Linked DNA regions of Sus scrofa. The protein of the gene in region 1 binds, or shares a complex with, the protein of each later gene. Links are inferred from orthologs where the notes say so. Each region holds a gene or a part of one and is shown on either strand. Other genes may lie near its edges.

Region 1 (3,815 bases):
AGTAATGGCTTGAAGCAAGCTCTTAATTCTCTGCTCAGGAATTGAACCTGGGCAGCCTGGATGAAAAACCAGGAATCCTAGCCACTGGACCTGCTAGAGGCTAAAAGTAGAATTGCCCTGATTCTTGTCCCCTGTTGAAAGCAAGAATGTTTCAAGGTGGCAAAGACTGTGAAGATAGGTATAAAGTTTATTGTTAGAGTCACAATACATGTGGGAGAGCACACAGTTAAGTAGTTTTTTAAGTCAGAAGCAAAGAAGTAATACACACCCTAAAGAGGAGTGTAGGTGCAGGCATCCCCCTGAGTGAGGAACCCGAAACTGCACTCCTCTTTCTGGTGATTTAACTCACATAGGACAGTTCTCCCAGGTCTTTGTTTACCTTTGGCCAGTTTTCTTCTTTCATTTCTCACACCTGAAAGGACACAGGACCCTCCCCAATATGCATGTGCATCTTTTGACAAAGATGGATTCCAGAGCAAAGGGTGCCTGGACAGTATGGGGACTTATTATGGCCTGGCGCCCCCTCCCTTTCTGACCCCTAGGAGTCTTATTGCACATGTGTAATTGGAGCGCTCTCCTTGACCCCAGGAGTGATTGAGGTGGTCATCTTATCTTTCTACTCCAGCAGAGCTCAGCTCCTGCAATTAACTTTTTCCTTGAAGTGTCAGAGGGGAAACAAGGCCCAATTTACTTGGCCTAACAAATCCCAGCTGTCCTCAGCCCAGGGGTTCATCTACCTCCTACCTCAAAACTCCTGCTAAACATGACCTTGGTAGCTCCACAATGCTCTCACCCACTACTGGGACTGTCATAGTGCTTGAAGGAAATTGCTACAGTTGTGATGGGAATTGAGTAGAATATAATGCATCCCAATATTAGAGAGTCAATCAGATGTCCCTGGTCCTCCTGGAGCTTTCTGCTGTTAAAGAGTTCAAGTCCCAGTTTTTTCCATTTGTAAGATGAGCTCTCCAAAAGAACTTTGAGAAAAGTTTACACATGTTGTTGAAACCACAAGTGTCTTGAAATCTTAGGGATCCTGCCTGTTTTTTGTTGTTCTTTATGTCCTTTGTGTTTATTTCCATATGCTGTGCAGATTATGCTACAAAGCTCTTTTGTGGTAAGAAGAATTGAGAGAGGTTGAAACCAAAGCTATCTCTAAAGCCACAAGTCCCTTTGGAAATAGGGAAAGAGATCTACCTATATTTTAAAGAAATTAGCATGTTATCTAGTTATTAGCTATAATGCTAATTCATAGAATCAAAGATTTTTAGGTGTATGAGGGAAGTGAGTATTAGAAGTCAGCTAGTCAGTGTTTCTGTTAAGTGCACGTCTCAGAACACTGGCCTCTAGGAAAAAAGCATTTCCCAGTCAGACAGGTTTGGGAACCCTGCAGTCTATCTTCCTCCCTTGAATTATTTATAATGAGAAGTCAACACTCAGCTGGCCTTTCCCAAACTTATTTAACCATGGAGTCTTTTTTTTTTTTTTTTCCCTTCTGTGTAATAACTGTTAACATCCTGCTGTAGGAAATGAGTCCAGTCTCATAACGGAGGTCCAGAAAATTAAGCCACTCAACCCAAGGCAACAGAGCCAGTAATGACACAACTAGAACATACTGCTGCTGGCTTCCCTCAGAACGGCTGCATATTTGTATTGACAGCAATGCCTTCAAAACATTCCAAGATTATTTTTTCCCTTGAAATTATTTAAAGAATCGTTTCTAGAGTATCTAGGATCCTAGTTTAATTTACAGAGATTTATCTCTTAGCAGATGGAAAATGTGTCAATTGCCTCATTCAATTTAGTAGTACTCTCTATTCAAATGCATCAGAAACAGAACCTGAATAGTAAGCTGTGGGGGAACTAAAGGCTCAGGAGGCTCTCAGTTAGACGGGTGGGGAAGGGAGAAAGCCAGTAAGCAATTAAACAAGGAGCTATGTAATTACAAATTACGACACGTGCTACGAAGATGAACTACGTGCCGTCAGAATGAGCTTACATTTGCAATCACTTTTTAATTGACCCTGATTCAGAAGGGATCAATAACAGCTAGTTTTATGGTTATCTTGGTACTCAGCTTCTGACTACAGTCTGAACCACGTTAACAACCCCTCCCTTCTTGTTTTTCCAGCCGGGCAGAACAAAATGAGAGCGCTTTGAGCCGGCCCAACCTCTCTCCCAGCCGTCCCCGACGCCCACCATGAACCACTTGGAGGGGGCCGCGGAGGCGGAGGTGGAAGTGACCGACGAGGCGCCAGGCGGGGAGGTGAACGAGCTGGTAGAGGCCGACCTGGAGCACCCCGAAGTGGAGGAGGAGCAGCAGCAGCAGCAGCACTATGGGGGCCGACCCTCGCGCGGGCGCGCTGTCGAAGACCTCCGAGCATCGCCCGGGCAGCAGCAGGAAGAGGAGGAGCGCGGGGAGTGCCTGGCGCGCTCTGCCAGCACCGAGAGCGGCTTTCACAACCACACGGACACCGCTGAGGGCGACGTTATTGCCGCGGCCCGCGACGGCTACGACGCCGAGCGCGCGCAGGACCCAGAGGACGAGAGCGCATACGCCGTGCAGTACCGACCCGAGGCCGAGGAGTACACGGAGCAGGCGGAGGCCGAGCATGCGGAGGCCACGCACCGCCGCACACTGCCCAACCACCTGCACTTCCACTCGTTGGAACACGAGGAGGCCATGAACGCTGCATACTCGGGTTACGTCTACACGCACCGGCTCTTCCACCGCGGCGAGGACGAGCCCTACGCTGAACCCTACGCCGACTACGGGGGCCTCCAGGAGCACGTGTACGAGGAGATCGGAGACGCGCCCGAGCTGGACGGGCACGACGGCCTGAGGCTGTACGAGCAGGAGCGCGACGAAGCAGCTGCGTATCGCCAGGAGGCCCTGGGCGCGCGGCTACACCACTATGATGAACGCTCCGACGGCGAGTCTGATAGCCCGGAGAAGGAGGCCGAGTTCGCGCCCTACCCGCGCATGGACAGCTACGAGCAGGAGGAGGACATCGACCAGATCGTGGCTGAGGTCAAGCAGAGCATGAGCTCACAGAGCCTCGACAAAGCAGCCGAGGACATGCCCGAGGCCGAGCAGGACTTGGAGCGTGCTCCTACCCCAGGCGGGGGCCGCCCCGACAGCCCTGGCCTGCAGACCCTGGCGGGGCAACAGCGGCTGGCGGGTACCGTGGGCAGCGAGGCGGTGCAGCGGTACAGCAAGGAGAAAAGGGATGCCATCTCGCTGGCCATCAAGGACATCAAGGAGGCCATCGAGGAAGTGAAAACCAGGACCATCCGTTCGCCTTACACCCCCGACGAGCCCAAAGAGCCCATCTGGGTCATGCGCCAGGATATTAGTCCCACCAAGGATTGTGACGACCAGAGGCCGGTGGATGGAGATGTAAGTGTGTGCGGATTCGGACTTGCCCAGCTCTAGGCGCGGTCTTCTGGGAGACGGGCGCTGGGTGGTCATTGGGAGATGACTTGATGAGATAAATGATCAGTGGGGACGCTAAAAATCGTGTCCACCGTAAGCTTCAGAGACAGCTTGCACTAAAGCCCCAGTGAGTGAAATACAGGTGGGAGGGGATGAAGTGAGGAGAGGTTGCATAAATCAGTGTTTCTCAAACAGCCCTTGGAGCGCTTGTTCAGAAATCGATTTCCACTACTCCCTGTTCCCCAGTTTCTCACTTAGAAGGGGCGGGGCAGAGCCTAAAAATTTGCATTGCTAGCATCCAGTAAACAATAAGTGTGGGTTGAGTAAGGAGAGACTTTACTGGAAAGGATTATGGCAAAGGGGGAAAGTTACTATTGTA
Region 2 (4,394 bases), on another chromosome or scaffold:
GGTGGCGGAATATATGCGTAAGCAGAGTCTTCAAAGGAGAGGAGGTGGAGAATTGAGGAAGAAATATTTGAAGAGTCAAGGGCAATGTCTGCATTTGTCTTTCTCCACATGATATTCTCAATGTCTAGCAAGGTGCCCGATATAGACCTTAAATATTTAGCAAAAGTTCTTGAACATCTGTAGCAACAAATGACAGCAATGAATAAGAGATGAAAAGTACATGAATGCTTTTGCAGGACATAAGGGCCATTAAGGACCAAAGAAGGGAAACAGAATGGCCAAAAGGGAAACTTAGTGGAAGTGGCATATCTTCCACAGACCTGGAGGATGGGTTCAGTTTGAGGATGTACAGAGTATGGAAAACTAGAAGCGATGAAGAAAGGCATTCTACATAAGTACAAAATAAATGAAGACTTGGAAGCAAGAAGAAGCATGGTTTTAAACATTCCACCTCTACTGGAGTGGTTATTCCATTTGAGGGATGAGAAATGAGGTTAGATGAGTTAGGATCAGAGTTTGCAAGGCTTTAGGAATAGGAATTGGGGGGGGGGAAGCCATTGAAAGTTTTTGAGCAGTAACCTTTGATGATGGAATCAGGGTTCAAGGGGGAAAAAAGAGTCTAATGGTGGCATTCATGATGGAAGAGAAGAAAATACTATAGTTGAATGGAAAGGATGTATGGGGCAACAGAGAGGTCGTTAAAACCATCTTGTCATGAAGTGTTAAACACTCCTTTGTAAGAGCACCCCACAGATTAGCAGTGCAGACTGGAGCTTGAATAAATACTAGTGGAATTGAAATGCTGGGCAAATTAATATTTCACACTCAAATTAAGGCCTAAAATTGGTTTTGGCTCATGAAATTTTCAAAAGTAGTCCTAAGAATCTAGAGTGTTTTAAGAATATTATTTGCTTCCTAATATTTCATTTATATAAGGTTTTTGATGAGCTTTTAAAAATTCCTACTTTGAGATGCACCCAAGTGTCTTGTTTTCTCACTCACCCAAGAGTGTTTCATGACTTTTGCACTTTCCATCCTTTTTTTTTTTGCCTTTTGTGTTTTTTAGGGCCGCACCCAGGGCATATGGAGGTTCCCAGGTTAGGGGTCTAATTGGAGCTGTAGTTGCAGGCCTACACCACAGCCACAGCAATGGCAGATCTGAGCCCACAGCTCACAGCAATGCCGGATTCTTAACCCACCGAGCAAGGCCAGGGATGGAACCCGAAATCTCATGGTTCCTAGTAGGATTCGTTTCCGCTGCGCCAGGACGGGGAACTCCGTACTTTCTATCCTTATTCTCAGATTTCTAGGGAAGATCTATGCCTTGGATTGGTAAATTAATTAAAGCAATGGAGCCACAAATGCGGAATTTATAATATCTCACTTACACACGTCACCGAATCTCACTTAGAATCTAAAGAAATCGGAGATCGGACTCTTTGTCCGACAGAGGGGAAGACTGAGGCCGAAAGAAGGTAAGTGAGCAGTCCAGGCTCACAGAACCAAGGGGTAACAAGAATCCAGACTCCACCACATGGAGCCAAGGGTTGCAAACGGGTGGGATAGCTAAGAATGGGGAAAGAATTGGGAGGGAGACTCTTTTCAACTATAGGAGGCCGGGGGATTGGAGAACCTGACAAGCACTGAAGATGCAGCCCAAGGCCACCCTCTGGAGCCCGCTCAGCCCACGGGAAGATCCCCGCGAGCCCCAGCTCGGTTGCTCCCGCTCTCGCGATACTGGCTCGGTTGCTCCCGGCTCCTGCTAAGCCCCGCCCCTCCACCGCAGCCCCTCTATCGTCATTTCCTGTGGGTCTGCAGGCAAAGGGAGAAGATGGCGGCGTTGGGGGAACCTGTGCGACTGGAGAGGGGTGAGTGGGGACTAGGCCGGGACTGTCGTGGACGGAGAAGGTGGGGGAGTGCCTTTCCGCCGTGGGGGTGGGGGGCAGCTAAGCTCTGAGATCTGGAATCAGTCTTTTCTTCGCGCTGGCGCCGGTGGCCGCCGACGTTGCTGCGCCTGGCCCCAGGGGGAGAGCTTGCTGCTCTTGACTGATACCCAGACCCACCTCTATTCACACGGACAGTCGCGAAGCACAGTACTGTTCGACCCCACCTGTCTGCGTTCGCAAACACACTCTGCACACGCGTTCTCTGGATGGGTATGGCAGACGCAGCGTTCGGAGACGTGTCTAGCTAAGCAAACATCACACGCCCAGTTGTACAGACTACACTCACTGCCCGTATTGACCTGTGCACAATCCAGTGTCCCCGCCTTACTCACACAGCCCGGCTTCACAGTACATTGCCACAGAACCCACCTTATTTATGCACGAACGCTGTCGTTACTTCGACCACAACCCCACTTGTATTTCTATCGGGTTGTGTTCTGGCTGTGGTCCCCCTCCCCGTACGGAGAAGGTGCTTTAAAAACAATCTTACTAATGTCCAGGGAAGAAGGTTACATAACTAGTTGGAATTGTGGTAGATTGTAAAATACTTAATAGTGTAGTTTTTTTCCTTCTTTACAAATCCTACAATTGCTAACTGGCTGGGTGCTTGCTTTGTAGAGCAGGCTGTCAAGGAAAATAAAACCTTTCTGCTGAATGACTGGAAATCGAAAAGCCAGTTAAAGTACATAGCTATGAGCCTAGAAGAGGCCTGTTGAAGATTTTCAGCATTCCCCTCTTTCCTCCCAAGTCCTTTTTTTCAAATAACTTCATGCATACTTTTGACATGCTAGTATTAGGAGTCGTAAGAGTCAAAAAGTATGAAGTACACATATGGAGTACTAGTGATAAAGTATAGGATGGAGATTGAAAATATCTTGCAGATATTAACTTTTGCATTTACTGTCTGAGTGTTAAGTAACTTCCGCTCTAAGGAGAGAATGCATTTTTAGAATTATTGTAGTTGGTGAACTCTTTCCTTGTGCCTTTACAGAAACAAATGCACACTAGACATTGTTTATTCCTTATGGTGTTCACTACTTGTAAGTTACTTTACAAGTGATGTTGTTTTCCTCCAGCCTACCAGACCTTTAATTAAAGTATCATCTTTGACAGAGGAGTAGCTACTCTGGGAAGACTTGCTAAGTTAGGGGGAAACTATGACATCTTCTTCCTGAGCACAATGGCACTGTGCTTTGTAGATGGGAACAAATCTGTTTGGTGTTAGCAGGAGTAGGTGTTTTTCTTTGAAAGCCAGTTGTAGGCTTCTAACATGTTGGCGGTCTTTTGTGTTTTTAAGTGCAGTACAAAATGTGAAACTTCACCTCTGGCATTTAGTTGTGGTAGTCATGGCTTTGTTTTTTTTTTCTGTTTCAGAGTTCATTTCGGTTCCAAATGCTCAGCACCTTAGTAGGATGAATTACTAGTGGATACCATTTAGCAGGATAAGAAAGTCAGATTACATCAACTGTAAATCTTATTTAGCATTCTGTTTAACAGACTCTATTTAGAAACTCTTCCAGCAGTTCTGCATTATAAAATTAGTGCAAATGTTCAAGATCCTAAATGCCTTCAAAATCATCAAACAAGGTTCAGTGGAACACATTTGAGCACATGTTGGGTACATTTAGGTTCAGTAAAGAGTATTTTACTTTTAAAATTTTTCTTAATTGAAGAGTTTAATATACCTTACATATTCTAGCTTTATAAATCAAAATATTTGATGAACCAACACTTGCCTGTTCACCAGCCGTTCTGGTGGTGGGAGACAGAAAGCTGAAAGTCTGTTGACGTTGTATTAACATCAGTTTAAGCTTTTATTACCTGGAATTGAAGAATCTACTTCTTTCTTCACTACATTTATTCCTAGTTTGCCAGTTACAAACACAAATAAGATTATACTAATTCTATGAGGTTCCAATCCTTTAAGCGTAATATAAAATTCAGAACTTCTTCCATTTAAGACAGAAGGAGGCAAGGAATTTAGAATAATAGATACTCTAGTCCCCTGTGGGGCTAAAAATCAAAGTAGAGGTGGTGTTGAAACATGGCTGAATTATGTAAAATTTCTTAATTCATAGAACACTTATGCTCACACTTCCTAGTGACAGTTGCCTAACATGCTTAATATATTTATAGTGTAAATGTGTACATTATGATTCTTTGGTGCTGATGTAATAGAACATTTATGCTTGCTAAATGGCAGGCTCTTACCATGTATTTTTGTTCTGGTCCACAATTCTTATAAAAAGGGTAATGTTATTTCTGTTTTGCAGTGGAAAAACAGACATGGAGAGGTATTTGCCCAAGATCACACAGCTGTTACTGAGACTAGATTCAGGAAACTGTTTTTAATTTTGTATTTTATTAACATGTATTTAACTGAGCTTGTCTTAATTAAAATACTGTGTTAATAATCCTAAGTTGAAAACAAATCAGTTAATTCTGGTC

What was found.
Region 2: APBA1 (region 1) and LIN7C share a complex: the UniProt entries of both Homo sapiens proteins name them as parts of the brain-specific heterotrimeric complex. The link is inferred for Sus scrofa from reciprocal best matches to the Homo sapiens genes APBA1 and LIN7C.

The regions. Positions count from the first base shown.
Region 1 is NC_010443.5:222,836,375-222,840,189, reverse strand, and holds part of APBA1 (amyloid beta A4 precursor protein-binding family A member 1), read left to right. Parts: exon of another isoform or gene 1-2,131; 5' UTR 2,132-2,200; coding exon 2,201-3,400; intron 3,401-3,815. UniProt on the Homo sapiens protein: Putative function in synaptic vesicle exocytosis by binding to Munc18-1, an essential component of the synaptic vesicle exocytotic machinery. May modulate processing of the amyloid-beta precursor protein (APP) and hence formation of APP-beta.
Region 2 is NC_010444.4:32,843,392-32,847,785, forward strand, and holds the start of LIN7C (protein lin-7 homolog C), read left to right. Parts: upstream 1-1,536; 5' UTR 1,537-1,831; coding exon 1,832-1,868; intron 1,869-4,394. UniProt on the Homo sapiens protein: Plays a role in establishing and maintaining the asymmetric distribution of channels and receptors at the plasma membrane of polarized cells.